Rattus norvegicus: one gene and its partners. The protein of the gene in region 3 interacts with the protein of the main gene of each other region in a pairwise test. Links are inferred from orthologs where the notes say so. Each region holds a gene or a part of one and is shown on either strand. Other genes may lie near its edges. The genes, in order: Rad23b, Ubxn2b and Ngly1.

What was found.
Region 1: the proteins of Ngly1 (region 3) and Rad23b interact in binary tests that used the Homo sapiens proteins (3 or more experiments, as listed by UniProt). The two-hybrid records come from large-scale screens. The link is inferred for Rattus norvegicus from reciprocal best matches to the Homo sapiens genes NGLY1 and RAD23B.
Region 2: the proteins of Ngly1 (region 3) and Ubxn2b interact in binary tests that used the Homo sapiens proteins (3 or more experiments, as listed by UniProt). The two-hybrid records come from large-scale screens. The link is inferred for Rattus norvegicus from reciprocal best matches to the Homo sapiens genes NGLY1 and UBXN2B.

Annotation. Positions count from the first base shown.
Region 1 is NC_086023.1:74,910,885-74,920,727, reverse strand, and holds part of Rad23b (UV excision repair protein RAD23 homolog B), read right to left. Parts: intron 8,774-9,843; coding exon 8,718-8,773; intron 5,992-8,717; coding exon 5,864-5,991; intron 4,722-5,863; coding exon 4,586-4,721; intron 3,625-4,585; coding exon 3,497-3,624; intron 2,792-3,496; coding exon 2,603-2,791; intron 1-2,602. UniProt on the Homo sapiens protein: Multiubiquitin chain receptor involved in modulation of proteasomal degradation. Binds to polyubiquitin chains.
Region 2 is NC_086023.1:24,095,890-24,106,438, reverse strand, and holds the start of Ubxn2b (UBX domain-containing protein 2B), read right to left. Parts: upstream 5,224-10,549; 5' UTR 5,199-5,223; coding exon 5,115-5,198; intron 486-5,114; coding exon 382-485; intron 1-381. UniProt on the Homo sapiens protein: Adapter protein required for Golgi and endoplasmic reticulum biogenesis. Involved in Golgi and endoplasmic reticulum maintenance during interphase and in their reassembly at the end of mitosis.
Region 3 is NC_086033.1:11,628,437-11,639,052, forward strand, and holds the start of Ngly1 (peptide-N(4)-(N-acetyl-beta-glucosaminyl)asparagine amidase), read right to left. Parts: upstream 6,893-10,616; 5' UTR 6,851-6,892; coding exon 6,720-6,850; intron 1,940-6,719; coding exon 1,825-1,939; intron 286-1,824; exon of another isoform or gene 204-285; intron 1-203. UniProt on the Homo sapiens protein: Specifically deglycosylates the denatured form of N-linked glycoproteins in the cytoplasm and assists their proteasome-mediated degradation. Cleaves the beta-aspartyl-glucosamine (GlcNAc) of the glycan and the amide side chain of Asn, converting Asn to Asp.

The DNA of each region.
Region 1 (9,843 bases), on a different chromosome or scaffold from region 3:
GAAACCCACAAAAAGATCATTAACTGACAAACATTTAAGATGACCAGGAGGCAAAGAAACCTAAAGATTCAAGGAATAAATTTAGAACAATTCCTACCTTTTTGACAAAGGAAAGGTGTAATGAAGTACGTAAGCACAGGAGTTCCCCAAGAAAAATGAAGGTTCAAATGGCAACTGATAGTCTATCAACTCCTTAAAGAATCAATACCAATTCTTAAATTCTTCCAAAAAGAATTTAAAAAGTAAACACCATTTACTCTTGTGAGGCCCCAATTCCCCAGTATTAAAACAAGATATCCACGACCGAGAAACTACAAAGTAATAGTTGTTATGAATACAGGTATAAAACCCTCAACTAAATATTAGGAAACTGAACAAAACACCTTTATTTAATGGACAGTGGCCTTTATCCCAGGAATGCAAATGTTCCTCTACATAGAATAAATTATTTGTAAGAATGGAAGATGATCCTTTGATACTTAGAAAAAGTATTTAACCGTTTATGAGACAATCCTCACACCCTGACACTGAAGGGGAACTTCCCTCACCAGCGAACTCCATGGGAATAAACACACACATGAGTTTAGCAAGTTTAGGGGACTATAAGATCACCGTGCAAAACCAAGCTGTACTTCTACGCAGCTAATAGTGAACATTTTGAAATTAAGAAGAAAAAAATCCCAACAGCATCAAAAAGAATAGCTCTTAGGAATAAACTCAAATGTAGTACACATTTTTAATTTTTAATTACCATAGCTATCGTATACCATAGAACAAGCCTTGGTAAGCATTAAGTTGTTTCTTTGTTTTGAAATGATCTTACTACACAGTCAGTCTCAAGGCTACAGCTCCCGGGTGCTGGGATCACAATGCTGCTCCATCTCACTCAGACGGTTTTAAGGTCTCAGGGGGCACAGTGCTACATGTTGCAGTCCCAGCACTTGCAAAACGATGGAGAAGAATCAAGACTTAAAGGTTATCCTCACCCACGTACCAAGCTGAAAGCCCCCACAGGCTACTGTATATCAAGACTGCCTCAATGACAAACTCAAAAACCAAAGAGGGGAAAAAGAGATTCAGGACATTCCTCATATCCATTTCCAGGATAAGTAGAATAGAAAAACTCAGCCAAAACTTCTATCCCAGACAAGCTGATCTGAGATTTACACAGAAGAATGAGGGATCTGGAACAGCGCTCCACACCCTTTGTTTTCATACTTGTTGATAAATTATTCTCTGCCAGAAAAATGAGCCGATTCAAGCCAAATTAAAGTATAAAGGTAGGTTTCAACCTGGGGGGAGCTCTCAGGCAGGTTCACCAATCTCACAGGCGGGTCAGTGAAGTTGCCATGCAGATAGAAGACAGGAGGGCAGTGTTGGTGAGATGGGCGGAAAGAGGGAGAGAGAATGCAGAGAGGAGAAATGCAGAAAGGGAGAGAACCAAAACGTCTGGATTATATAGTGAAGAGCCCCTGTGTGAGAGGAAGCACAGCCCATGGTGGGGTCATGGTGGGGTATGCCTGCTATGCCCTGAGACAGACAGGGCCTGAGAAGCCTGGTACACTTTGGTATGTTAAATATGCACTTCTTATTTCAGACCACTTGTCCCAAGCCTGAAACTAGAAATCTGCAGTAAAGGTAGTGAATGAGGAGTAAGGTACTGGCCTGGGTGGCTATGGATAAACATAAATCAAAGGACTGAAACTAAGCCCCCAAACAACCCTGACACATCCATGCACCACTGACATTTTTATAGGAACCTATACCTTCAAAGTCTTCAACAAATGGTGTTGGGATACATGGATATCCACAGGCAAAATGGCAGACTGGCATACTCCATACCAAAAGAACTCACAAGGGATCACAGCCCTACACATAAAGGCAATCTGTGGATTCTTTGGATGAATTAATAAACCTTTCACCTGGATTAAGCAATGATCTAGAAAACACCACAAAACACAAAAATCAGAGAAAAGAAAAGCTACAGTGAGAAACCAAGTGAAGCCTAAGTACAGAAGAAAATTAAAGCCAGACATGGGCATGCACGTCTTTAATCTCACAGCAGGAGAGGCAGAGATCTCTGTGAACACAGGGCTCTATCTGATTACCATCTCAAAACACTTCATAACAATGTGAAAACAATGTCAAAAGTGAGGGAGAAATGGAGTTACTGATCAAAGAATCACAAGGTATGCTATTGCAGGGCCCAAGCCTGTACCAGTCCACTTGTTAGGACATAAGGAGTTAGTGTCTCTCTCATGTTGATTATACACTACTCACATGTAATTCATATAGATATTTAACATTTTGGGGACAGTAGTAAAATCTGAAGTATGAAAAACGAATGATTTTGAATTAGTTATAATATTTAGTGCTTTAGCCAATTAACAGTCATACTTGATTTACTCAAGAAGGTACTTTGCTGCTATTGGAGCCAAGAAAGGACAACGTAGGGGATGTGGCTAAGAGTTAAGTCTTTACCGCAGTCCCTGGGGCAAGGGACAGAAAAATGCCACAGCTGCATGCCAGCAGGAGCCACTGGCCCAAGGTGCAGAGTGGTGTAAATACAGTGACCAAGGAACTCAACTGTACCTAAACTCACCCGTTCTATAGCTTCTTTCTCCTGAGGTGTTACTTGGATGTAGTTCATGTGACCACTGCCAGCTTCTGCAATTCCTCCACCGCCTCCACCTCCACCACCTCCACCACCTCCTCCTCCACCTTGACCACCAGCTTCCTGAACCGGTTCATTTAGCATCTGAATAAAATGCTCCTGGTGTTGGCTAATTTGCTGTAGTGATGTAAAAAACAGAAGAAATAACACATAATTACTTACTCCTAAATAAAAACAAGAAAAAGATTAGCCAGGCGCGAGGAACTACACTAATTTCATCTATTAGAAGGCAGAAACAGATCATCTTAGGCATGCCCGAGTCCTATAGGAAATTGAATTTCAGACCAGCTCTGTCTAAAAGAGTCAGAAAGTTAGTTTTAAGTGATTTCTTACATTATTATTAAAGAAACCCAACAGTTCTGAAATGTAAAAAAAGGAGAGCATGCAAATTCTTTCAAATACTCCACTCACAAAAACCAACAATGAAAAGCTACCACGGGCCTAAGTAGAGAGCTTACTCTTCATGTATAGTTTATTTTCCTCACTAGGCTATTCTGTGCCTATTTTCTGGTCTGGGCATGAAGCATGCCCACAGGTAAGTTTCTAAGAGGCAATGTCCACTAGTAGCAAGCTCATGAAAAGCAAGTCACAAAATTAAATAGCCTCTCGGATTCCCTAACACATAAATGTACCTGGGAAATCTGAGTGAGGAAACCAACCTCTCCCATTGCTAACGTAAGCAGTTAAAGCAATGCACGCTGACTAGTCTTTATCTCGATTCATTCCTCAATATGCCTACCTAGAACACAGGCTCTGGTTTACCTGTAGTACAGAATAAAACAACATTCAAGCCCATTTTCCAAATTAATATGGATGAGTCACCTGCAGCAACTGAGGGTTCTCCCGGCCTATCTGCTGTAGCAAAGCAGGAAGCAAGGAGGGGTTCTGCTGGATAATTTGTCTCATCTGTTGAAACTGAGGCTGATTCCGTAAAAACTCAAGGGGGTGGCCTGAAATATATACAAACATTTCAAAACAAAAACAGTAAGTATATGTAACAGCAGGTAGTTGAACAATGACTTAAGTTCTCGTGTTATAGAGAAAGTAAGTCACAAGGTCTCCAAACTCCAATGTGCCTGCCACCACTGCTCTAAAAAGTTATACTATTTTCTACTAGCAAAAGGATAGACTGCTGAGAGGCAAGCCCACCCACCATGCCCTGTGAACCATCACAAAAAAGCTGGTGTCCTATATCAAAATAAAAGGTTGTCATGTTATTGCCTGTGCTCACAATAAGAAACACATGCATGTTTATGGATATCTAGTCCTATATTATGTACAATAATGAAGTGAGACTCAGGGACCACAGTTACCTAGGAGGTGGCATCCTATAAATCTGAGTCAGAGCTATGCCTCCTCTTTGCACTACATGAGTCTCAACTGCCAAAATGAGAGCAAGAAGCTATCAACCTAAAACAAAACAAAACAAAACAAAACAAAACAAAACAAAAAAAACAAAAAAAAAAAACAAAACCCCAGCTTTTTAGAAATCAGCTTGCTACCACCACCACTGCCGTGTCTCTCTATGTACCCTGGCCATTTGAGAACTCTGCTGCGAAGACTACGTTCCCTATGTTCCCTCAAACTCAGATGTGTGTCTACCTGTGCTTCCCAATACTGGGATTAAGGAGTGTGCCTCCACACCCTGCCTGAAATGATAATTCTTAGCAAGGTAAGACATCCACTCAAAAGTCAAACAATTCAAACTGTGAATACACATTTTTTCCAGAGTGAACTACTAGTGTAAGCTCTGATAACACTGGTATACACTAAAAGCCAGAGAATCTCTCCTCTTTGAGTGAAGAAACAAAGCTTATCCAAGTGTTCTGGGAATGAATCTTAACCAGTGAAGTACGTTACATTAAACAATCTTACACTAAAAGACCATTCTCCACCTAACAGCTACTTTACCTCCAGAAGTGGTGGTTGTCGTTGCTGTTGTGGTTGCTGCAGCTGCAGCTACTGCTGGAGACTGAGGAGTTCCAGTACTCACAGCCTGTGGAGGAGGATCAACCACGGCCTGACTTTCTCTGTCTCCAGGGATTCCCTGCCAACACAATTTCAAATTTTAATCAATCTCAATGTAAATCTCTCTCTCTCTCTCTCTCTCTCTCTCTCTCTCTCTCTCTCTCTCACACACACACACACACACACACACACACACACGAATCTTACAAGTAGCCCAGATACAATGCTGTAGTGCAAGGGAGCATTGTTCAACAGAATTTTCCAGTGACAGATGCACTGTCCAGTAACAGCCACAACCCATGTCCAAATGAACTCTTAAGAGTATCAGTAATTAAGGCGTTCAATGCCCATGGGTTCCAGGCGACTTTTGGTGCAGAGGTTTTCATAATCTGTCATTCTGTGAAACAAAGGACTGTGTTTACACAAACCAGGCAACTGGTGGATAAGCGACCAAGTCTCCTCTACTGATCTAATGCTTCTAAACAAGTATCACCTAGAAAGTGCCACACATAAAAAGAAAAACTTCAAAGATGGACAAATTGGTATGTAATGTTAATAGTTTATATTTTGAGTTTCTGTATGTTTCAAACATTTATCTTTTGAAATGAGTACAATTTAAAAGGTACACTCAAATTTTCTATTTTGATGCACAAGATTTGATGCACACAATTATACGCATTTAAAAATCCATCAAATTTTTAACTTTAACAGATGGTAATGAGTTCATTTCCTATTAAACCAAGGCCAAATTTCTTTTCATAAGGAAGAAAGAGCAGTGACTAACAGGGGCTACACTACAGGCATTCAAAACAGCTATTTTTCACATGGAGTTACAAGACAATTAGATTCAGGGTACAGAATGTGGCATGAAATTCTCAGACAGAAAAGTTAATGCTGGCTCCTCCAGAGGAAAACTAATTTTGCTCTAAGTACTTCATAAGAGACCTAAGGTATCAGTCTGTTCAATTAGAGTTGCCTTCACCTGCGCTTCATTAGCATGAAAGGCACCAACTACCCCAAACAAGAGTCACTTCCTAACTCACCTCACATCATTTAAATCATTTCAGAATCTTTTCCAGAAGGTTACCTGATAGCAAAATCTCAATATTGGGTGGGGATGGGAACTATCCAGCATATAATGCTTTCCACTGAATTGTTAACTCATTTATTAAAACCTTAATTTCAAGAGTTTGAAAGAGAAAAGTAAAACACGGTTCTCACCATTAGAAGATATTCCACAGCTCTATCAGGGTTGTTGAAGCTGGCTCTCAGGGCTGCAATTACTTGTTCTCGTTCATAGCCCATTGACATGATCTCAGTTACCATATTCTCGTAAGACTGACCTGTCACTAAACAGGTGTGTGGGGAACAATGGGGGAGAAAAGTACAGGAACATTCAACATTCTCCTCATAGTTCTTGACTCCATGATGTTAGTGTTTCATATTGCTATGCTAGGCAGAGACGATTAACAATGTAGTAAGTCAACGTCACATTCTAACTCCCAGAACCTATAAATATGTAATCTATAAATATGTATGACAAAGGGAAGTGACCTTTCAGGTGGGCCCAATGTCATCAACAGGGTCCTTAAAAGTAAAGTGGGACAGAAACAGGGTTACAGACAATAAAGACAAAAGCACTGCTGCTGTTTTTTGCGGGTGGAGAAGGGGGTCTACAAGCTTCTAGAAGTGAAAGGGAACTAGGTTCTCCCAAGTCTCCAAATAACATACAGTCTTCCTTGGTATCAGGCAGCAAAATTCAGGTCAAAGGTTCTGACCTACCAAAAATGGCCAGATAACTTTGGTAACTTACAAAAGTAATAGAAAACTAGGAGGTTTTATATGCATAGTAAAAATACCAGGTACAGATACAAGAAAGAATTTACAGGTCAGGGAAGGCAGCCTGTCAATAAGAGACAGGGGAGTCAGCACCTGGGGATCATTCTTATACTTCCTTTGGAAGACTGCTGCTGTGCGTTGAAGGCCAGTGTTATCTACACAAGTTCAAGGACAGTATGAGGCATAAAGAAAAATGCTATTGCACAAAAAAACCAAGTCCACTGCTATATATATTTTAAACAATCAATTCTGGTGCAGTAAGACTGTGTTTTATCTTTTTCTTTTGACACCTTGTATTTTTCAAACTAATGGGAAACAAAGGTTGGAAAAGTTACAATTTCAGACCAGGTTGCAAGTATTGTATCTGAGTCACTAACATCCCCAACCCTCCCTGATGACAGTAGCTTGCCTGAATGAGAGCTGCTCCCTCAACTCTCAACTCACCTGTCTGTAAAACTATTTTCTTTCCCACTTGTGTTATGGCACCACTGCATTGCCACGTCAGAAAGTGGATTCATTATGGTCTCCCTTCTCCACCCCCAACTCTGTCCTCTAGTTTAAGTGACCAGCAGCCATGTTGTCACCTATGAACAACAGCAAACACACTGGTGCAAGCAAGTAAGGGAACAAAGACTTGGAAGGTTGCAGATTTCCCCCTGGAAGTTTACATAAACAAGTCTGCAAGTTCAGAGGGAAATGAGTAGCATTAATTCATGTGGGAATCCCACATGCATGGTATTCCGCCATTCCCACAGCTTAAATGTTTAACTATAGCCTAAGCCAGAACCATGGAAAGCACATAATTAGTCAGGAACAATATTTTACTAGAGTGCTTGAGAAGAAGGGTTTGAGACATACACAGAACAGGAATGGGATCACAAAAGCCAAGTGGGAAGTTAAAGAAACGAATTCAGCAGAGCAGAGACCCAGGGATTATAAAGCTGCCGTGGAATGTCCAGGGATATAAAGGCTAAATATAAGGGGCACTAGCATTCCTGTGTGCTGGCTCCTTGGTCAAGTCATAGATTGTTTTGCTTCCTACAGACTGAAACATGAGCAAAATATGCCTCTTCTTAAGATGTGTGTAAGTAAAAACATGACCAGTAGCAGCAGCAGCAGCAGCAGCAGCAGCAGCAGCAGCAGCAGCAGCAGCAGCAGCAGCAACAACAACAACAAAAGGCATCATCTACTTGGCTCCTGCTCAACAGCACCATCTTGGCGATACTGGCAACAACCAGAACCGTTAGTAACACTAGGGACAAGTACCAACTGGCTCCAGCTCTGAACCACAGAATGGTTAACATTCTCTAAGTACTCCTCTTGTCTAGTTCTTCCAATGCCTTTATAACAATTCTCTATAATTCATGGCTTCCTCTGTATGAAGTATAGTATGCCTTCTGTCTCATGAACGGATGTTTACTGAAAGTATTTGGTGGCAGTGTCGTCCCAGGACAGTTTCTCAAAGATGAAATTCTGAATTTAGTATACCTAGGTGATCTTAGGCTATTTAAAACATCTACATTTTTGTCACTACATACGATGAGGGTATCAAGGAGTTAAAGCCCAAGTAGTTCATTCAGGACCAATGTGTTATCCCAAGGGTTTTTAGAGCCATTGGAATGCTGCTGCTGCTGCTGCTGCTGCTGGGAAGCCCAGAACCCAGTCAAACAGACAGCTTCAACTATCCCAGTCTTTTGCCTACTATGTCAAAACAGAAACATGGATAAACAATAAAAACATTAACCGTACTCCAGGGGTTTAATCATAGGAGGGAAAAGCTGACAGTTTAGAGATGAAGGGAAAGGAGAAAGCATTATTAAAACAGGTCAAATCAAAGACTGGGGCAAGAAGACCTTTTTACTATGTGCCCATGTAAGCAACAGGAGGCAGCTGGAAATCTAGAAAGACAGCAAGGTGAATGAAGACTGGAGGTGAGCAAGCAAATATGAGGTACACAAAAGAAAATGACAAGGCCTTCTGTAATAGGCCATCCACAGACCAAACCTGTTAAGACCACATAAAGTTCACATTGGAAAATAATTTGCTTCAAAGGAGGTACTTAACCGCAAGAAGAGATTTTAAAGAATTCAGTAAAGAATACATCAAAGTCTCTAGTACTAACGATATAAGTAAATCATTTTAAAGCTTAACTGTAAGTGGTCATGAAGCTCACACTGTCAGTGTGGTCTAGAAGATGACACTGCACATCTGACAAGGTGTTTTCTAAGACACTCACCAAGGGCACTTGTTGCATCTTCAAAAAGATTTGACCGAGAAGAATCTCCTGGTGTACTGTAAAGAGTTTAGAAAAAAAATCATTTCAAAAAGTTTTGCATAACTCATTTTATAGTTACTAATTTCTAAAGGATATGTTTAAGTATTAAAGTGTGTGGGCAATCCAGTCTCGTAAGAGGTTATGTCCAAAGTTGTACCTGTAGGATTTATAGTTAATGAAAAAATTTCAATCTTAAGACTTCTGAGAATTCATCAATGCAAACAACATCAAAAGGCTATAAATGTAACACCCTTAAAACTCTTGCTCTAAGAATGAAAATAGCACCGCAGCTAAATTACCCCAGAAAAACAAGCTGCAGCAGCAGAACATTGAAAGTAGTATCTGATAAAGGAGCACACACATAAACCAAGTGAGGTGGCCACGTCTTTCAGTGAGGTTTTCTATGAAAGTTTTCAACAACTAATTGGGAAAGAAGGCATACAAGCTATATTGCATATGCAAAAAGAGGTGGTTGTATAGATCCTATGCTAACCTAAAGAAAACCTTAGGCATAAGGTCCTAGGTTAACCAGCAAAAACATGCATGCAGACATGCAAATTTCTGTTCTGTTGAGAAATCGATGAAGTTCAAAATTAAAAGGCTGACGAACAAGATTATAAAACACCATGGAGCTGCTGACAGTAGATATACACAATCGCTTTGATGTGAAGCTACCTAGAGGAATGAAGAGGACAAATGGGAGGAGCAATTAAAGGAGGTTGAAGTTATGCTCAGTGTACAATATTTATGATATTAAGTAGCAGGTAATTACAATCTTTATTTTCATATCCCAGAGTGTAGATATGTGTACCGCATGTGTAATGCCTTGGAAGTCAGAAGAGACATTAGATTTCCTTGACATGGAGTTATAGACCATGTGAGTGAGTCACCATGTGGGTGCTGGGAACTGAACCCTAGGCCCTCTGCCAGAGCAACTAGTGCTTATAATTGCTAGGCCATTTCACCAGCTCCACTATTACAAATTTTAAAGTGACAGTAAGAGTAAAAATTATCACATGCACTCCATACATTTAAACTTCTCTCCAATTTCAGCTTTTGAGTTAAATGTGTTTGTGTTCATAGGTGT
Region 2 (10,549 bases), on a different chromosome or scaffold from region 3:
GAAACTTCAGAAACTTGAGATTCACCTCAGTCCCATGACGGGTGGTGAGAAAGCTCTGGCCCTCAACTGACAGGACTGCATATGAAGGTTGCTTTGGAAGGTGAGGCCTGAAAACACCATCAGACCTCAATGGGGCTATGATAAAGCTATTCAAGAGCCACTGGGCCTCAGAAAGCAGGATCAAGACATAATTTCACGTGGTGCCTATGATAATTATCATATACTAAGGTAACTGAAGTTTCTTTTAGCTGATTGTAAGAAATTTAGGTATAGTACTTCCGTATCTATTTTAAAAACTTTAATTTAAAAAGTCCCAAGGTCACTTAAAGTACTCTGGGCTTAGTGAGCAAAGCAGGGTATGTGTTTGGAAGCAATACTCACCGAAGGGGCGGTGTTCGTGGGCTCTTAAAGGCTGTAGCTGTAGATCTGTCAGGCTTGGAAGACTTGCATTTCATTTCATCTTCATATAATTCTGCCAAGGCCAACTACACACAATAACAGGTTTGTTATACAGTTGACACTGGAAACAGACTTCTAGACAATACCTGAGGAACCTGGCTTGAAATTGAGCAACGGCAATAGCCTATGAGAAAATGGGGTGGTTGTCTCAAAACATGTCTGTCCAAGACTAAGTTACCAGGTCTCATACTATTCAACTAATCAAACTGTCTATGTCAGAAAAAAAATTGTTATAATAATTCTTTACCTATTCAACACTTTCAAAAACTGAGTTTGGCAACATACTATTTTTGCTGTGGACCTGTGTAACTTTCTTCAAGGTTTAAAGATTTTTTTGAAGACAGTTCAAGTTATTGACACTTTCTCTAATTCAATCAACCCTATAACTTCACTTATAGCTGTTTTCAAAACCTAAGTACATAAAATGAGTTCAAAAGTATTGTGTAAAAGTCTACTAAGACACAAATTTCATTAAGTTTAGGGAAAGGAGATGAATTAAATATAGGTTTTAGCCATTTATAAAGTAATACTGTTAAATTAAGTATTGTAGATGTATAGCTGGATACCTTCTAAATAAAGTAAAAATACATTTGTCCTTGAAATAGAATTTAAATAATAACCAAATTATCAATTATTATAGTTTTCTTTTCCTTTTCCTATTTTTGGCAATAATTTAAAATTTTTCAGTCAAACACAGTGGTAAATACCTTCAGTCCTCGAACTTGGGAGGGAGAAGCAGGAGGATCTCTGTGAATTTGAGGCCAGCCTGGTCTACAAAGTGAGTTCCTGGACAGTCAGGCCTCTCTAAAGACACCCTGTCTTGAAAAATCAACAATAAAACAAACTTCCTTAATGCTGCTAGTCGATATTCCATTGGTATGATTGTTCTTTGGGGTTCCACTCCAAGGTTAGGAACACAGGCAGGCCTCATACATGTTAGACAAGCACTGTGACACCCAGCTACATTGCCTGGCCTTTGAAGATTCCATGGCCTTTAGATAAACACATTTAGAGTACACCCTCAAGATGCGTAGAATTTTTTCCACTCCCCTAATTGTTTTTATTCCTGTTCCTCCCTCACTGTCGGAGATAGCATCAACTTGTGAATTTCTATAGTGGCTATTTCCCTAGAAATGCAAATCAATGCCTCTGACCTAAGAACTGAACTCAAATATTTTACAGAGCTATAAGTTTTCGAAATGAAAATACAATTCTATCATTTTCTCCCTTTTCCTCCCTCCAGACCTCCACCCCATGTTCATACACCACGTTGTTCTCTCTCAACTGGATCCAAATCTCAGGCACATACTGTGTAACATTTGGTGGATTACTAAACAAATTACTTCTATAAATGCCTATCAAAATTCTTCTGAAAATCAGCTGAAAGAGGAATGCACATAGAGCACAAGCCACGTCCATTCCATCACTACAAAGTCTTATTTTAAACTGTGACCCTGCATGTGCCAGTGTTCCGGATTTCACTCTCTGTGTCTCCCTGCCATGGTTTGCTACTTTTGCCCTCCAAAACCCCAAACAGAACTAGAAGCAGGATAGGGGAAGGACCATGACTACAGTAAGTGTCCATCTTTCAAACAGTCTTCTTTGAGAGACTTCCTCCTGAGCCAATTGTATTATTTCAGATCTATGAATGACTTATATGCTCAATGTATCTCATACAATGTTTTCTGTATTCTAATCACCTGTTTCAGGTGACCTATGTAAATAAGGCTTCAGATTTTCTTAAATATCTTTTTCTAAATCTATATACCATACGCTAGCCTCCTAGTGACATTTACTTTAGGTGCCAACTGTGATGGGTAATCGTCAGTGTCAACTGGACTAGGAACCTCCTCAGAGACAGACCTTTGGGTGTGTTTTTCTGCATTATTTCTAAAGAGAAAAGCCCTACCCTGAGCATTAGGGTCTTAGCCTGAATAAAAAGGCAAAAGCAGCTACGTTTCCGCTTTCCACACTCTGCTCTCTTGATCCAGGTAGATCTGAGGAACCTAGCCGAATGTCCCTCCTTCATGAACTCTACCATGCCTGCCTCACCAGTTCTTATTTTTAGCCACTTATTTGATTGCTGCCAATTAAAATGTTTTTCTTCTGTAAAATAAATAAAGCAGCTTTGACTTTACGCAAAGTAGAAAGGGAACACGAAGGATGCTATCCGAGTGTGATTTCCTCAGAGGTGAGCAAGTTATGTACCAGTTGCAGTTCTGACAAGGGCTACTCATGAATATTATTAAATCTTTAAAATTTAGATAACTAGACATAGCAGACTGAGCACTCTTGAGATTAAGTAAGGGACAGTCTTGCCTCAATTCTTCTCAAGTAAGGGACTGATCATCTTTTTAGCCTGGAAGGAAACCTGGATGTAAGTCTCTGTGAAAGGCAGAAACACAGCAAAAGAGAACTAGAACTCTCAGCCTTCTCATGCTACACTGTAGAAAACACAGTAAAGTTACCTGTACAGACTGGCCAAACCTGGGAAAACTCTGGCAACTACATAATGCTCAAGCCACACTCTGTACCTAGTGGACTAGATGCTGGTATGAGGGCTTTCCACACATTATTTAGCCTTTCCAGGGACATTACTTCTCTGAGAACCAGAGATCTGGAGGAATGACAGTCAACAGGACCAGGCATAGTGGCAACTATTAGCCTCAGACCAGTTTACTTGTTCCCAATGCTAATCTGGATGGAACCACAGAATTAAGAACAGTAATCCTGTTGATATTATTCTGTAGGAGCATTGGGAAGCATGCAATTAACCACCTTCAACACCTTTAAACCCTCTAACTGCCCGAAGGACCAAACACCAGCCTTAAACACAGTCCAGAAGACACAACATAGACACTTTAGGAGATAACTGTGTAGCCCTCTTCTGGTGGTTCCCAAAACACTCCTTCCTGATTTAGAAGCTAACAGACTATTCTGCATGGCAGCAGAGACATTCTGTTCAGCTGGCAATTCACTATCCAGTGTTTACCCCACACCTGATGGTGATCTCTGCATTCTCCAAGTTCATCTTCGGAACTGCCCTTTTTTGGCATTCAGTGACACTTCAACTTGACTCTGTGCTTAGTTCTCCAAAAAGTTATGAAGGCATCTAAAAGGTTATACGTGGTTAAACAGAGACTGTTTAGGTCAATTAAACCTAGATTACTTGTACAACAAAACGGAATTCCTGAATGGGGCAGCCCCCAGCGTCAGAACAGGTTGGGAAAGTTCAAACTGGCAATGAGATGGGACTTTGTGGAAACTAGCAAGCCACACATAGAAAATACTTAAGTTTGGTCAACCAGTCAGATGGGTACCTCCCTAATGTGCTGGCTAGTTTTACATCAACTTGACAAAGTTAGAAATATTGGGGGAGGAGGGGGGCTCAACTGGGGGAAAAAAGCTTTCTTAAAGCTGTAGGCAAGCCTTTAGAGCATTTTCTTAGAGATAGATGGTAGAGGGCCAAGCCCATTATGGGTGGTGCCACACTTGGGCTGTGAGTCCTGGCTTCTATAAGCAGGCTGAAGAAGCCACGGGGAGCAAACCAGTAAGTAGAACCCCTCCATGGCCTCTTCATCAGCTACTGTCTCCAGGTTCCTGCTCTGACTTCCTTTTCTGACGATGAACCATGATGTGGAAGCGTGAGTCTCCCTTCCTCAAGTTGCTTTGGTCATGGTGTTTCATCACAGTGATGTAACTCTAAGACAGCTAGCTAACTGGCTCCAGGGTCACCTGAAACCAACCAGTGCTCAATTAGTACCATTATAACTTTGCATTGGTTTGGTCTGTTTCAAATCTGTGACCTTTCCCAAAATGTAATTGCTTACAACAGTATCCATTAATACTTATGGATTTGATGTTTTATTTATATACTAATTCCCCTCAGTGCAAAGTTAAAATGGCAAGTGGTCAGTACATCTGGTTAAAGAATGAAGACCAGCTATTAAAAATGTTCTGTCAAGGTTTGTGAATTCAGGCTCATTTATTCTCAACTCTAACCCGTAATATACGTTTAATTGTTGGATTTTATCAATGATTTCATGAGGAGATGGAAAAAGCATCTGATAAGACAGCATCCGGTGGAGAAGTGTTCAGCTGACGAATGTCAGCATCATAACGTTGCTGAGTTTTATTTCTGTTAAGTTGTTTTGTGGGCTACCTCTTACAAGTGGGCTGTGACCAACGCCTGAACTGTTTTAAGCTCTCCCCTGCAAAAAACGCAAGCTTTTTCCTAAGAAAGGAAGAAAGCGCTTTTAATCTATAAGTCACCAAATGTGGAAAAAAAAAAAGGATCTAAGAGAACAAACCTGCATGCGTTATTTTAAAGTTACTTTTTTAAGTGATAGCTGATTGACCACTGGCCACAGAAACTCTCCAGATGCAGGCAGCAACAACTGGGAGCCACCCTGATGGCTCCGCAAAATGACATTTTCTGCTTTGTGCATCCTGCGTGAAGGGAAACCCTGTATGGCCGCCTGAGGCTAGGGCACTGGTTTCCACACGCACCACCCCGCAATGCGCCTCCGGGAGAGACCCTCCAGTTCTCCGCAGACAGGGTCAAGGAAAGGCTCAGGCGAGGTACAAAGTGGCTCTGGCCCGCGCCCACCATGCCCACACCCTCTCGCCCACCGCCGCGCTCTGTGCCTCCGCACCTGTAAGTCCCGCGCACTCGGGGGCCGCGGCCTCGAGGACCTCCGCTCCTGCTCCTCCGGCTCCGCGCCGCCACCCTCCGCCATCTTTCACCCGCTCGCGGCGCCCGCCCCGGACCCGCGACTTCCGGGGCTGGTTGCTTAGCGACTGTGGGAGGGGCAGTGCCACTTGGTGACTCCCACCTCCTTGGAGAGGGGGCGGAGCTGTGCCTTGTTCGCTAGATTTCTCCCGTCTCCTTCCCCCACCACCCCGTGGGCTCTAGCTGTAGGGTTCCGACTCACCCGTTTCCCCTTTTTAGAGATCTGTCTGCAGTCACCATGCAACTCGCTGGGAGATGCTGTAGGTTGCCGTAGAGTGCAGCATTGTCTTCCAAGTTTATTTAACTAAATAGTGCAATATCTTAACAGATGAACATTGCAACTTCACCGTTCATTTCCCCTTATCTCTCATTTTCCCTTATCCAGGATTGGATTGCAAATTAGTCCTTCTGAGTGGATCCATATTGAAGACAGGAAACACAGTAAAGCTTTTGGCAACAAGAAAGGAGACTCTTAAGCCATCTTCTTTTCCGCCAGGATTGATTTAACTCTCGTCTTATTCCAGACACACCTCCAAGAGTTGCCTCCCAAGAAAAAGGAAGTCTGGGTCTTTATGAAATTATAAGCTAAACAGGTAACAGAGAACAATTTGTAAATAAGGTTTGCAGAGAGTACTATGCGAGGCCTGTATGTGAATGGAGAATACTCTCTTGGTGGCTGTTGTGTGCACCATGCTAGGTGGGAGCCTACAGCCTGCTGCCTTGGCTGTTCTTTGAATCCCAGGCACTTCAAAAACAACAACTTTTACAAGCTAGAGAAGATGAATCTGAGAGGTCTGTTTACCACATCTTAGCTACTTTTCTTGATTGCCAACAGTATGATACACCCACATAGGCTTTCACGTTCCTATGAAGACACTAATCACATAATTTTTTTAAAAATAAAATTTGTGCCCTTTTCTCCTGTAAATCTGTTTTAGTTCAGTTTCTTTCTCAGGCCCAGCTTGAGACTCAGAGGGCAAAGGACGATGGTCCCTCTCCTCAGTTTAGAGTCTTCCACTTGAATTGCTGAATATGCAGTGTTGTACTTGAGTAAGTCAAATGATAATTAAACTAGAAACTAGCAGTACACGTTACCAAACCTTGCATTGCTGTCTTGATATTCTTAATATACATTCTGCCTTAAAAGTTCCCATCACTTTTTTGACAAGAAAATACCCCAGAGAGCCAATACCTTCAATGTTGGACCTTGAAGGAGAAGTATTTTCCACAGTTGTTGTGCCAGGAATGACCATGAGTAAGAGGTCACAAATATGTTCTAAGACAGATAATGGGGACTATCTTAGCCATGCCAGCAAAACACTACATGGGTGTTTAGAAATGATTATGTTTATAAGCAATGATGAGGCAGTCAGTAAGAGACCTAGACTAGAGATGTAGGCTTAAGTTAGATTCTAGAGTGTAAGCAGCCATGCTTACTTCCTGGGCCAAGGTCATCAGATGCGACCTTGACTAATGAAAATCAGTCCAGTTGGAGGGGCCACAGCAAGACTGAGACTGTGATGGTTTTATCAAGAGCCATTAGACTGTTATACCTTTGTCAGAAATAGAATACAACTAACGGCAGTGGTAGTTGCCAGGATATAACGACATTCGCAAGCTCCACAGGTACACCAGGTTAATTGACCAAGCCGGCTCAGTCAGCCAACCAGGTCTCAAGGGAGGGTGTGAGGACTGAAAGGAAAAAGACAATTAAACGACTCTATAACATGACTCCAGCCAGCGCTGAGGCTGAGGCGGACTTATTTTTCTCCAGCCTGCTTTTATATCATTCTAAGTACAGGCAAATGATAAGGGCAGTTCTATGTCAAGGAACAAACAAGGCTATAAGCAGAGTCCTGTGATCACTGTTTCAGAGGGCTCATCAGGATGGCCAAGATAAAAGGAAGGCCACACATTCCTCGGCTGAGTTTACCTTGAGCTTTTTGTTAGCTCAAATGTAAATATCATCTGAGCCTACTTCCATATCCTAAACCAACATCAAATTCCTACTGGGTCCACTTCTCTGTCCTGGCCCAATGTCAGACTCTTGTCGAGTTTCTAGAAGTAGCCTAAAAGCTCTCCACAATTATCACCTGAGACCAGTTATTCTGCTAAGCTTCCATGCTTCCTTAATGTCTAAGAGACCATACAAAGAAACAGCCCAAACACCTCACTGCCTGAGGGAACATATCAGTCTCTCAACATCTGGAAGCTACTTTGTGCTCCAAGAGCCATGGACTCTAATCCAAAAAACTAGTGACATGTGCCTTTCAAGGCAGCTAGACCAGGCCAACTTCTTGGTTCCCCTCACCAAAGGAATGTAGTTTTACAGTCTATCTGAGGGAACCCGTGAATAGAAGTAGTGGTGATCTATAACTGGGACCGAGATTGCCAGTCTTCATAGCACCTTTTTCATTCTTGGTAAGTCATGGACTGTGGAGGCATAGAGATGCAGGGTCAAGTAAGGACTGGTGACAGTTGCAAGCGCCCTTGAGAAGAAAATGTTTTTCTCGCTTGGCCTTAAACTATGTTCTGCTGTGTCCTGTTTCTGTGGAAGCTCTTCTCACGCTCTCTTGGTAATAGCTAGTATATTTTGATAATAAGAAGAGGGGTGATTTGTTATGTGAATATTTTGAGAAGAAACCTTTGTTTAGTCATGTTTCTTCGTTTAATCTTACCTCAGTTGTTCCTGGTATCGTGGGAACAACAATCTTATGGTATCTTGCCAAAATGGAAATTGTAGTAATGCATATTCATATCTATATAAGGATTAATAAAGCTTGCAACTGAGCGGTTACTTCTGCCTTTGCTCTGCACCCCCTGTGTCCTGGTTGTGTGCGACCGTATCCAGGGCCCCCAACGCACAAGACGTTGAAAATGGACCACAATAGTAAGATGACTCAGTGGAGAGCCTCATCAGGCACAGACAACTCTAACTTCATAACTTACATAAAACTCATATTTGTGTAATTTTACTTATGCTGAATTTCACTAGGCGAGGTTCAGAACTGGCCTTCGTTTGTTGTCTCATCTGTTGAAACATTTTTATCTTGTTTCTAAAACATTTGAGAGAATGGCATATGTTTACAGCTGGTAATTTTCATGGCTTGCATAAACTATACCCTCTACAATAACTTCTGGCTTAGGTATCCTCTTCATACTTTAGAAGTAAGTGTGTGGGGGTGGGGTGAGGGCAAGAGAAAAAATAAGCTTCAGAACTAAGTTTTAAATTCAGGTGCATTATACTCTAAAGTTTATGCTTTTCTTTTGACCCCCTCCCTGCTCCCTGGGAGCTGTTCTGTAGCTCCTGGCAAGATTGCACAGTGTTACTGCCTAAGGACCTCTTGGTATGTTTCATACCATTTTTTTTTTTTTTTGGCCATCCCTCAACAACATCCAGCCTTTAACCAGTGATATTCCCTTGGGTTCTGCTTTAGCCTTTTTTATTCTCTTGCTGTGTGAAACTCCACTATTCAGTGTCATCTGTTCTTGTTCCTATCATGTATATACAGCTGGCTCTCATTATCCACAGTTCTGTTCCATGAACTTGCCAAGAACATTATATTATTGATCACCGAATTATTGCCGTTGGGATACAAGGTTATGTCCTTGAAGCCCCTGTTTATGTTCATCAGGTGGTTGGTTCATAGTCTTGTTCTTTGTCTATTTCTGTATAGAGACATTTTATGTAATATATACTATGGCTGCATCAAAATCGAACTCACTGTCCCAGCACTGCAATTCCTTCTTGAAGGAAGTTTGCCTTATATGCAAGCTCCTCAAGGCACATCCACTTAGGAACCCTAGGCAAAATGTCAGCACTGCACTAGCAGGCAGTTTTAAATAGATCCAAAAGGAGAAACACAGAGTCTGAAGGATGTGGCATTAAGCAGACTGCCAGCAGACAGTGTAAGAGCTGAAAAAGGCAGAGCCTCACCTTGTTTGACTTCCTTTAGAAATGAGCTGATCCAGTGGATCAAACGCTTGCTTCCCTGTGCACGTCCATGCTATGGGGTGAGCAACAACAGTATACAACCAGTTGCAACAAGTACAGAATTTCCATATGTGCACTTCGCAAATAATGTAGATTGAGTGCATACAGAATTTCCCAGTCTACTTTTTCAGTACCCACCCAGTTCTTCCCATTACTCAAGATCTACACTCCTAATTGCTTTTTAAATTTGTATTTCCATTTGGATGTCTCAAAAACATTGCTGCCTCAACTCCAAACTCTCCCTTTTCTCCTCCAAACTGCTGCTTTTCTCATTGTGTCCCTGACATTATCATCATTGTTTTAATTAGGGTTTCCATTACTGTAAACAGACACCATGACCAAGGCAACTCTTATAAAGAAACTTTAATTGGGGCTGGCTTACAGGTTTAGAGGTTATCATATAGCAGGAAGCATGGCAGTGTCCAGGCAGCCATGGCACTGGAGGAGCTGACAGTTCTATACCTTGTTTCAAAGGCAAACAGGAGAAGACTGACTCCCACATGCCTAGGAGGAAGGTCTCAAAGCCTACCCCCATAGTGACATACTTCCTCCAACAAGGCCACGCCTCCTAATAGTGCCACTCCCTGGGCCAAGCATATTCAAATCATCACAGCCATCTAACATCTATTGGAAATTAGTCATCTGGATGTCACTGAGGCTCTTCATGGCTGAAGTTAGAATTTCCAGTGCTGATGTAGGCTAGAGCCATTATGACTAGACAAAGGCTCTTGAAGTAGACATTATGGTGAGGAACTGAAGTTTTGGTGTTTTTCCTAGCTGAAGTGTAGCTCTAGACACACTCAACGTGTTCTAAGCAGTAGAGTTGTCAAGGGAGAGGCCTATAGTAGACAACTTCCTACCCAAGGTCACTGGGCACCATGGAAAAGTCTGACAGGTGTCAGTCAGAAGGGCGAGGTTTCAAAGAGGAAATGTATTACATGGGAAAGATTGGAGAAGCATGCAGCATGGCTTCAATAGAAGACCCAAGGAGAAAAGAGATGGCTTGGAAATGGCCAGGAAAGACCACAAATGCCAATGCTAAGGAGTTTGGTTCTTAGTTCTACAAAAATATTTACAGAAATCAAAGAGTTTGGTGGGGGCAATGCTGACACCCCTGCATTTTAGCAATAAAACTTGGTTGACCAGATCAGCTGAGGGCAAGCTTGGAAGTCAGAGTAGTGGCAGAGCCCTTTGAGTACCTTTGGAGTGGAGGCAGTGAGGCTGTAAATCAAGTCAGCTTGAGGTAGGATGGGCTTCAGCTCAGGTGCACCAGATTTATTCCTGGAACATTGTTTGTGAAGATATTGTATGTCTTTGGCACTGCGACTATTTAAATCTCGTTTGATGTCTTTTTTAAAATTTTA
Region 3 (10,616 bases):
ATCATCCCTTGCCTACACTCTAGATTATCCAGAATAGTCTCTTCACGATAACTGAAATAATATTTGAAAGTTTTCTTCCCTGCTTTAAACTTTCCAATGGTATCAATATTAGTTCCCTATCTTGTCTCTTTGACAAAATATTTGACACAAACAATTTAAAAGAGGAAGGATTAATTTTGGTTCAGGTTCAGAAGACTCAGTACCTAGTTACTTGGCAACATGTTTCTGGGCCCACAGCCAGGCAGAATATCATAGTGGTGGGACCATGTGGAGGAGGCATCCTCTCTAGGAAGACAGAAAGTGGTCACAGTAAGAAATAGCATCCAAAGACATGTCTCTGGGGAGCTACTTTCTCCACAGAGGCCACATCTCCATAGTTCTACTAATTAATCAAGTCGAAGTTTGGATCCCTCAAGGGGTTAAACCATTCCTTTAGTCATGGGCCTCCTGCTCTGTAGTCTCTCGGATAAGAAGTATGTTTTACCAATCTCATCAATCTGATAATCAAGATTTACTATCATAGTCTGAGTCTTTACCTGATCTGGCCTGGTCTCTGTCTATGCTTAAAGCTAGTCCTCATGTCAGAACTGCTACGGCTGGAAGCCGTTTGCTCAAGCCACTCCCCTGTATGAACTGAGTTTCAGGTATCTGAGTGGTTTCTTGTCACTTGAGTCCTACCCTTTACCACCTCACAGGCCTTCCTTCGGCGGTCACTTCACTGCTGCAGTGGCTGTACTCTAATGCTGTGAGTGCACGTACCATGTCTTGTGTTCTTTACCCTTGTTGCCTCTTTCCTGTTTTCTAGGCGATGAGAGCATAAGCTGTGGATGAACTGGGATTGTATTAACTTACTTCACTGTTACATCCTCATGGCATGCATCAGGATTTGGTTAGGAAGAGAAAAAACTCTACAAATAGCACCTGTACTCCTGCTCAACTTTGCTAATATCCTATATACCAAAAATAGGGGTACACAGAAGTCTGTCTGTCTATCTTACAGAAACAGTCTTAGTTTCTTCCAGCTTCAGTTTCCCAAGAAGAGAAGACTACAGGATGTATCAGCATGCTTGGCTAAAATGACAACTTTAATAACCACATTTACTGTATTATAATAGTAAACTCTGCCACAAGGTTTGAGAGGATGGAAACACCAAATTCTTCTTGTGGAATAAAATGGTAAACATCTTGAGATCACCATCGCACTAGAAAAGCATGTGGGGCAGGTGACTTTCTCTTTTCTCTATCTTCCTTGTTCTACTTCTTAATGGAGACAATGATGATACTTTTATATGCACTGCACACTCAGAGATCAATCAAACATGCTGCTGGAAGACTAAAGGGGCCACATTTGATTCTTGGGCTGTATTTCATGCTCTTTATTCTAAACATTGAGACTTTAAGAATTCCTATCTATGGAAACTTGTTACATTTTATCCTGACTTCATTATACTTTAAAAATGTCTAACATGTTAAAAACAACAACAACAAAACAAAAACAAAAAAAACCCAAAAAAACAGGGGCTAGAGAAGTGGCTCAGGGGTTAAGAGCACTGACTGCTTGCTCTCCCAGAGGTCCTGAGTTCAATTCCCAACAACCACATAGCGGTTCACAACCTCTGTAATGAGATCTGATCCCCTCTTCTGATGCATCTAAAGACAGCTACAGTGTACTCATATATACATTAAATAAAAGAAACCCAACTAGTTCTACACATTTCCAAAATGACCAGTTAATTTAAAAACTGTCATTTAAACAACTATTCACTGTCACTGCTGTTTGTTTTGCACATAAAGAATGGTGAGGAGACCTTTTCACGTACTCACCTCTTCAAAGCCCATTTCAAATAAACACTCAACAGCTCCTCTGACAGGCAAGAGTCTAGTAGAAAAGGCTGTGTTTCCAATGCGGATGGATCTGTATTTTTCATCACTGGGGTTTCTGATTAAAAAGAAGATAACATCATGGGTAAATTATCACCACCCATTTTCTAAGAGCTTATGCATGTTTCTTTCATATTTTCTACCAGCCAGACTCCCTGAGGCAGTAGAGATTCCAACTGTAAAGACAGAGCAGTGCAGACAAGCACTTCCATTTCATAAGTCTCACTTCAGTACCACTGAGTACTTCTACTGTCCACCTTCATGGATGACAGTATTAATACTGCCATGGGAAATGTGTAGCTGTCACAGATGAGTACTCGTTGAGTCTTTTAAGCTTCTAAAAGTAGTGTCAGACAGGGAGTAGAAAACTATGCTTGTTCTGAGGGATGCCATCATCTACAGTAGTGCTCATGGCACGACGGCGGTGATTAAGAAGCATTTGTGAACTGAAACATAGCTGAAGAGCTCTGCTTCCAGCTGAACCTTAGCGGTCACTTAGCTTCCTTTCCTCCCTGCACCGATGACTGCTTCTACTATAAGTTTCAACCTCATTCCAAAATGTTTTTAGCATAGGAAATAAGGTAATAAAATAAAACGAAACCACACATATTCAAGGACAAAACTCTAATATTACTGTTTAACTGTCATATATTAGTGCTGGTCTACAAAGTCCCTTCCACAATAATTGCAAGACTGTGTGTTCAATAACTTTTATAATAACTTGGTAATACTATGGGATTTTCACTGTGTTATATAAACTTTGTAGGTCTACATCTTTTCACAAATGATTTCGGAAGCAAATGTAGATTGCTGGGAACTGGGAACGTTTACCTCTGCACTTACTACATTAGGGACAGTGCTTTTCAATCTTAATCCCCATGAAGTTTACAGCACAGCTGAGGGGAGACTCCTATGCACCATGGAATGCTCAACACCCCTGCTTTCCATGACATACCACCTAAACAGACAACAGAATGAGCCTAGCACACGCCAGTGCTAACTACAGATGACTTTTCATGATGCACATCGGCTACCACCACTGTCACATACCCGTTTAAAGCTGCAGCTGTCCTGTGCCCACCCTCACAGCTTCTCCAGCTCTACATGACTGCTGTATAATACTGATGTTCACCATGCCAGAAGCAGAGCCCAGAAACAACAGGCATGTCCAGTTCCCAGATCGTTCTCTTATTGCTTGTTTTACCTCAAACTCAGGACTCCCCTTGTTTCTGCTCTTGGTTGCTTGAATAAGCTATGAATGCCCAACCCATTTTTAAGTGAAAAATGCTAAGCAGACTTGCATGAGTTCAAGCATACACTAAGCCCAAAATCAGCCCTGTCTTTCTATGGTACCCTGGGCACTCACCTGAATTCTTGCTTGATTCTCCATCAACTTAATTTTCTATATACAATTTCCTGTTTTTGTTGTCAAGCTTTGATGTTTCCCCTACCCATCTCTGTTATCTATTAAATATTTTTGTAAGTTGTAATATTTACTTCACTTGTTAGCAATTATCTTGGAGCTTTTCTTGGGACTTTTTCTGAATGTGTAGATTTTCATGACGTCAAATATCTTGTACTTGGCTCAACTGTAACTTTGGAGATATTTTTTTCTTTCTAGTCATTTTACTCTCATAGTTATCTACCAAACTATTTAATTTTCAAAAAAATAGCATTTGCTTTTGTATTTCAATCAGGTAAGGAAAGTCACTATTCTCCCCCCTTTGTCCCAGTTCCCCCTACCCCTTTTTTTAAAACAGGGTCTCTTTTTTGCCTTAGGAAGGATGCAGGCACTATCACTGGCCCTGCCTCTAACATCCACTGTTCTTTCAAACAAACACTGAATACTTATCAAGATACAGTAGTGTATGCCTATAATCCCAACATGCCAAACAACGAAACTGTTTCAAAAACAGAACAAAAACGATTTTCAAACACAAAAAAAACCAAAAAAACAAAAACAAAAAAAACCCAAACAATGAAACCCCCACCAGTAGGATTTAAGACAAAACAAAAATAGTTGAATGTGGGGATAGGATTTGTACACTAGACAGGGTAGTGAGAAGGAAGGAAAGGAAGAATAAACAGTGGACTACAAACTTAGTCAAACACTCTACCAAACTTTTCACCTAATTTAACAGAAATAAATAATAATAGTAATAATAATAATAATAATAGTGTTAAATAACCTCAGTAGTAGCTATATATATGCCAGGTCCTTTATTTCTCTATGTTGTGGTAATCCTAGAATAGAGTATTTTTCTTCTCTTTTATAAGGAAACTCAAACTTGGAAATTATATATAAATTACCTAAGATCACACTTAAAACAGTTGCCTACACTTGAAACTTCTGCTTTGGTTAGATGCTTATAAATATTCCACTACACAAGCTGCCAATAAACTCATCAACCTTCAACTGCACTCAATTTCTCTACATGTCAGTGGCAACCTCCATTAAAAATTAAAGTTGGTTCTATTGTTTTTGTCTTCTATTACTTCTTGCATTGTCAGTGAGAATCATCTTTCTCCATTCCATTGCATTTATGATTATGATTATGCAATGGCTTCACAACCACTGCCTGTCTCTTCCAATGCTCAGGAAACTCCACTACAGAAACTGAGTTCCCTTCACCTATACCTTCACCTAAATGTCTCACGTTGGATCTCACCACTATCTCCTAACATAAGAGCATAAATACAGAGTCAAAAACACTATCTTGGAATTGTTCTTTGATGTTATGCTGTTTGTTCAAATATATTATTTGAACAAAGAAACTATGTTTGATTTTTGGTTCTTCATTCAGTATAGTTAGTAGTCAACAACTGTGTGTGCTTTGTAAACAAAACAGTAGAATATCAAATATGTATATTAAAGAATAAATGAATTAGGAACAGGGGATCCATTCATGAAGCCCTGAGGGCTTAATCTATAGCAGTTCATAATGGCAAGTGTGGTAGCCCACACCTGTAATTTAGAGGTGTTGGTAGGAGGATGAGAAGTTCAACATTATTCTTAGGTATGTGACAAGTTCTAGGCTAAATTGGTACATGAATGAAATTAGCTAAACAGCTCACCTGTGATGCCAGGAAAACTAAAAGAGTCGTTTCGTTTTGCTTTTGAGAAAGGTGATAGTAAGCTCGTCATATCTAAAATGGGTAGCAGCTTTTGCATACATATTAGCACATATTTCTACAGCTTATTTAGATTTATTAGTGTTGGGGATATGATAAAAATTATTCAAGCAGAAATTTAAGAGTATTATTTCACTGTAGATTACAGTAACAAGTATGGGTTTAAAGTCTGCTAGTGAATTTTTACTTGCACATCCATTCTATAAACTGTTCTGAGACCAAAGCAGAAGAGACAGTGGGGCAATCCTTCAAAAGTGCCTTCACTTGCCACTTGTGGATTTTAAAAAGAATAGTAATGGAAACAGAAACCTGAAGTATAATTGTAATGTGTTGCCAGGGACCAGAAAAGTATATGAACCTTTCCTTAAGAATTTGGACATGAAGAAATAGGATACCATTTCCCAACCAAGCCAGACCTTGAATTCTAAGAACATAGGGCATTATTGTTGAAAACAAACTAAAAGAGCTATTTTTCACATCAACCTGAATCATTTTGGTTATTAACTCCTAATTTCCTTTATAAGACAGAAACACAAGAGCAGAAATGTAAGGCACAGTAAAGGCTGTAAGATGAGCCAGTTTCTTTTAGAAGTTTAGTAAACATTCATAATGGTGGTTATGATCCCAAATAATTATATGCATGCAAAGCAGTCCTTCAAAATACTCTGATCTCAGCATCTTTGGTTTCAGTATACTGAAAGGCTCAAAGTGTCTTTACAAATCCAGCCCTCTTTTCTGTACAGGGCGTGGGAGGTGAAGGACTCAAAGAATTCAGTAGGAAATGTCAGCTGTGGGCTCTGGAGAACCAAGCCTATGCATTCTTTCCGACACCTTGTACTCTGAGGTGCTGTGAGATCTCAGGGTTAAGCTGAGGTGTCATAAAGGAGGAAGGTGATCGTCACACAGGTCACAATCATGTAGCTGTGAGCAGGCCCAATGCTGCATAACACCTGGCACAGAGTCACATTATGTCCTCGCTTCAATTTATTTTAAATCTCACCAGTGTCACCTAAGTGAACAGTTATGGTTGTGGTGGCGCACACCTGTAATCTCAGCTTCCGGGGTAGGCTGAGACGAGACTGGCATGAGTTCCGGGCTACAGAGCAAGTTCCATGCCAGCCTGGGGTAAAGGACAACACCTCAAACACCTACCTCAATGTCTCAAACATATCGTTCCCAACTAATTCTCTAAAGCTGGGCCACATGAAGTGTACAGCCTTGAAGCTAAGAGTTCCTCCAGACTTCGGGTCAGTGTATTTGTAAGGGCCAGCGCCCAGGGGCTTAACTGAATTAGCGTCCCCTCCTGTGCACCTTCCCCAAACTAGCTCCATTTGACCTAAAGGGCTGTGGGAAGGTGCCGACCCAAACTTCCAACTGCAGCCCTTGTGAGGTGCTTCTCCAGAGTGGTTTCCTTCAAAACTCTTGCTTAAGGCGTCAGGTCGAACGAAGTAAAAACCCAGTAATCAACCCAAAGTTCGTAACTTAGAACTACAAATGTGTCAACCACCAAACTCGAAGTGAACATTTAACGGGTGCTCGGGCTGAGTCACAGCGCCTGGATCCTTCAGCGAGATGGGACACCACAGCTGTCAGAGGCAATGACAGCCCCAGCGAGCGCCCTCGTCGCCCAGCCCGCCCCGCCTCAGGCCCGAGTGTCGGCGGCCCCGCCCGCCTGCGGCCCTCAGGCTCCAGGGCCCCGGCTGCACCTCAGGATGTTGTCGGCGTAGGTGAGCAGCAGCTTGGAGGCCTCCAGAAAGGTCTCCGGGGTGTTCTGGCATAACTCGGCCACGGCCGGAGACGCAGAGCTCGACGAGCTGCCCAGTGTGGCCGACGCCATGGCTGAGCCGCGGCCTTCGCCACCTCGCGCTCCGCGGCCCGCACTGAGCAGGCGCTGAGGAGCGCCTAGGCCTCCGCAGAGGCCTGAGGCCAGGGGGCGGGGAGAGACGCCGAGGGGCGGGGCGTTCCGGGAGGGTTAGGGGCGGGGTTAGGGGCGGGGCGAGCCACCGAGAGGCGGGTTGTGAACGTTGGCTCACAGCGGGCCTGCCAGTGGAGGAGAGGGCTATGGTGACAGCTAGTGTTGGGTAGAGGCCCACGGATAATTGTACAGCCTTCTTTTTGCGGTAGATAAATGTCGTTTGTGGAAGAAAAGAGTCCAGAAGAAAGAGCAAGTTTGTTTTGTCTTTTTTGGGGAGGGAGGGGTTATGGGGAAGGGGGAGCGATCATGGACTGTGGCCTAGACTGGGCTCACAGTCCTGAATTCGCTGCAGTCCTGCCTCAAAATCTTTGATGACTGGTGTTTGGCTTCAGAAACAAAAGCATAGTTCAGAACTCTGCTAGGCTTCTGATTCATGTATTTTCTGAAATCTGTTGATGAACGTCACCTCGGTCGTTTCTCACAAGGTATGATTCTGCTGTATGGAGCATTTTTTAATCAGTGGGTTGGGGACTCAGTTTATCATGTCACCGGCGCAAAAGCCATATACAAGAATAGAATAAAATGAACGAGAATAAAGTTTATATATACATTGTATCTTTTGACTCATACAGGCGTATCGCTTACCAATTTCCTTAATTTATCTTCGAAAGTGAATCACCTCTTTAGTCCTGCCATGCTTCACCACACTGATGTCGCCGGCATCAACCCTGGGAATTGGCTCCAGCGCTCAGCTATATACCCAGCCTTCATTGCTTCTTTTTCTTCTTCAAGACAGGGTTTTTTTCTGCATAGCTCTGGTTAAACTAGAACTCAAGCTGCAGAGCAGGCTGGCCTTGAACTCAGATCTGCCTGACCTCTGCCTCCTGAGTACTGGGATTAAAGGCTTGTCCACTACCACTGGCTTTATTATTATTTTTTAATGTCGAAATGTCACTAAGGGTACACTTGACCTTGATTTTTAGTCAGACCTGGAGTCTTCCATATTCCACTCTCCTTAAATAGCTGGAATTACATGTAGGAACCACTAGACTTAGCTAGCAGCTATTTCTGGGCTTTGTATTTTAAAGATATTTACTTATGTAACCTCCTTTGGCACTTTATTATCTGTTGCTTTTTAATGTTTCTGGGCAATTTCTTTTGAGACTTTTCTAGAACTTCTGAATATTCATCTGTCAGATATACCTAAATGCTAAATGCTAGCATTTAGGTTTGTGGACCAACTTCAAGAATGTTGTTTTCAGCTCGGCATGTTGGCAAATCCCAAAACTTGGAAGGTAGAGGCAGGAGAATCAAAAGTTCAAGGTTAACTTTGGTTTAGTAGTGAGGTTGAGGCCAGCCTGGGCTTCACCAGACCCTGTCAACATACAAAATACACACACACACACACACACACACACACACACACACACACACACCCCTCTACCACTACCACCACTATCAAAAGACATGAAAGTTGGAGGGAGATGAAGGAAAAGGGGATTAAAACGGGAGGGGGGCAGTAAAGGTGACGGAAGAGAGATAATGGACGGACTGTGGCCAAAGACTATTATATATCTATGAGACTGTGAAAGCATCATTCTTAAAAAGAGACTATTATGTTTAACAAAGAGACTGCTATTAACTTTCGTTTAAACTTTTCATTGGCTAACTAGCAATTTCTTTTTGTGGCTCATAACAAAGTTACACTTAGGTTTTTGGCCCAGCTCCGAGTGCTATGTTCCCAGCTGTTTGCTTGTGATCCCAGTAAAAGGTAGAGGCAGGCCAGGGGGTGCAACTTGGTTGGAAGAAGTGCAGCACGGAAGTCAGGGTTTGCTATGTGTGCTCCTGCCTTACTTCTAGGTCACTCCCTCTGCTTGTGCTTGTGGTCAAGGATGTGAGTGTTCAACTTCCTGCTCTGGCTGCTGGGCCTGCTGGCATGCCACCACCCTTGACTCTAACCTTTGGAGCCATAAACCAAACTACATTGTTTTATAAGTCGCCTTGGTTGTGGTGTTTTATCACAACAGTAGAAAAGCTTAATATCCACAGAAACTAATACTGAGAGAGTGGGATACTGCTGTGGTGAATTTGACCATGTGGGGCGTTTTTTGGTCAGGGGAGGGTATTATGCAAGGATTTTGGAAGACTTGGGCTAGAAAACAAGATAAATTGTTCTGTTTGTAGAGCAAAGGAGCTCTGGGGAGCTTAACATTACAGCCAAAGCATGTGCTGGAGAGAGGAAGTTTCACCCAGTTGAGAAATTTGCACTGGAATAAAAGAAAAGGGTACTCTCTAGGCAATATCTCCCCCAGCAAAATGTATAGCTTATAAGACAGCCTAAAGCATTTTCTGATCCCAGAGAGTAATTGAAAAAAAAGTACTGTTGCTAATGTGATTCAAGCGACCCCATCCCTGGCTGGCAGCCACACTCGGCTGTGTTGTTCCCACAATGCCAGCTTTTGACTTGTAGGATACAAGAATGAGGGTTACAGATCCTACCTCTGTGGCTTGTGAGAGCCTCTGAGGCCAGATAACCTGTGGTAGGGAATTCTCTGCATGAAGATCCTGAGAGAGTAAGAGTTGTGGCAGACTGTGGTGTGGAGCTGTGAAAGGGAAGCTTGGGTTCCAGTGGAGATCACAAGATGTTGACGATATCAATGCTATGAGAAATCTGCCAAGGATTGAATAGAGAGAGTGGGACCAGCCCAAGAGAGAGATGTAGGCAACAGGCAGGAAAGCTAGAGGGTTGGAGCCCTTAACCGAAGACAGGGTTTGGTGTTTTGTTCTGCTAGGTAATGGTCATGGTTTGGTCCAGTATGTTCTTATTATGCCCCACTTGGGCCTTTTGGGATGGTAATGTGTGTCATATATTGGAAATATGTAATTTGCCTTATGATTTTACAGAAGGTTGCATTCTGAGATGCTTCACATCTTAGAAGAGACTCTGGACTTTTAAGCAGTGTTAAGACTGTGAAAGACTACAGGGACTTTTAAAGTTTCACTAAATGCATTTTGCATTATATGGCCAGGAGTCTATGAAGACCAGGGAGTTGGGTGTGGTGGTTTGAATGAACAATGTTCCCCACAGGCTCTAGTCAGTGGCCTAGTTTGGGGACATTTAGGTGGTACAGCCATGCTAGAAGAAGTACGTCACTGAAAGTAGTTGAGAAAACAACTTTATGTTTGCTCTCTTGGCTCCACATTTGTGATAAAGGATGTGAGCTTTCAGCTTCCTCCTCTAGCCACCATGCTTGCTGCCTGCTGACCTACTGTCCCAGTTGTAGACACTTGGCCCTCTGGAAATATAAGGCCTTTGCCTCTGAGCCATTTCTCCTACCCCTCATTTTTATTTTTAAGTGTGTGTGTTTGTGTGTGTGTGTGTGTGTGTGTGTGTGTGTGTGTGTGTGTGTAGCACATGCATACACATTCCTCTTCCATGGTATTTGGAGATCAGAGGACAATTTCTGGGAGTTGGCTTTTTTCTTCCACTGTTAAGAGTTCTGAAAATGGTCGTGAGCCCTATCCACCAATGGCTGAGCCGTGGTGATGTACACCTTTAATCCCATCCCTCAGGAGGCAGCGGCAGATGGAGCTCTGTGAGATTGAGGCCAGCCTGGACTACAGAGTGAATTCTAGGACAGCCAGGGCTGTAAAACCCTGTCTTGAAAAATCAAAACCAAATCAAACA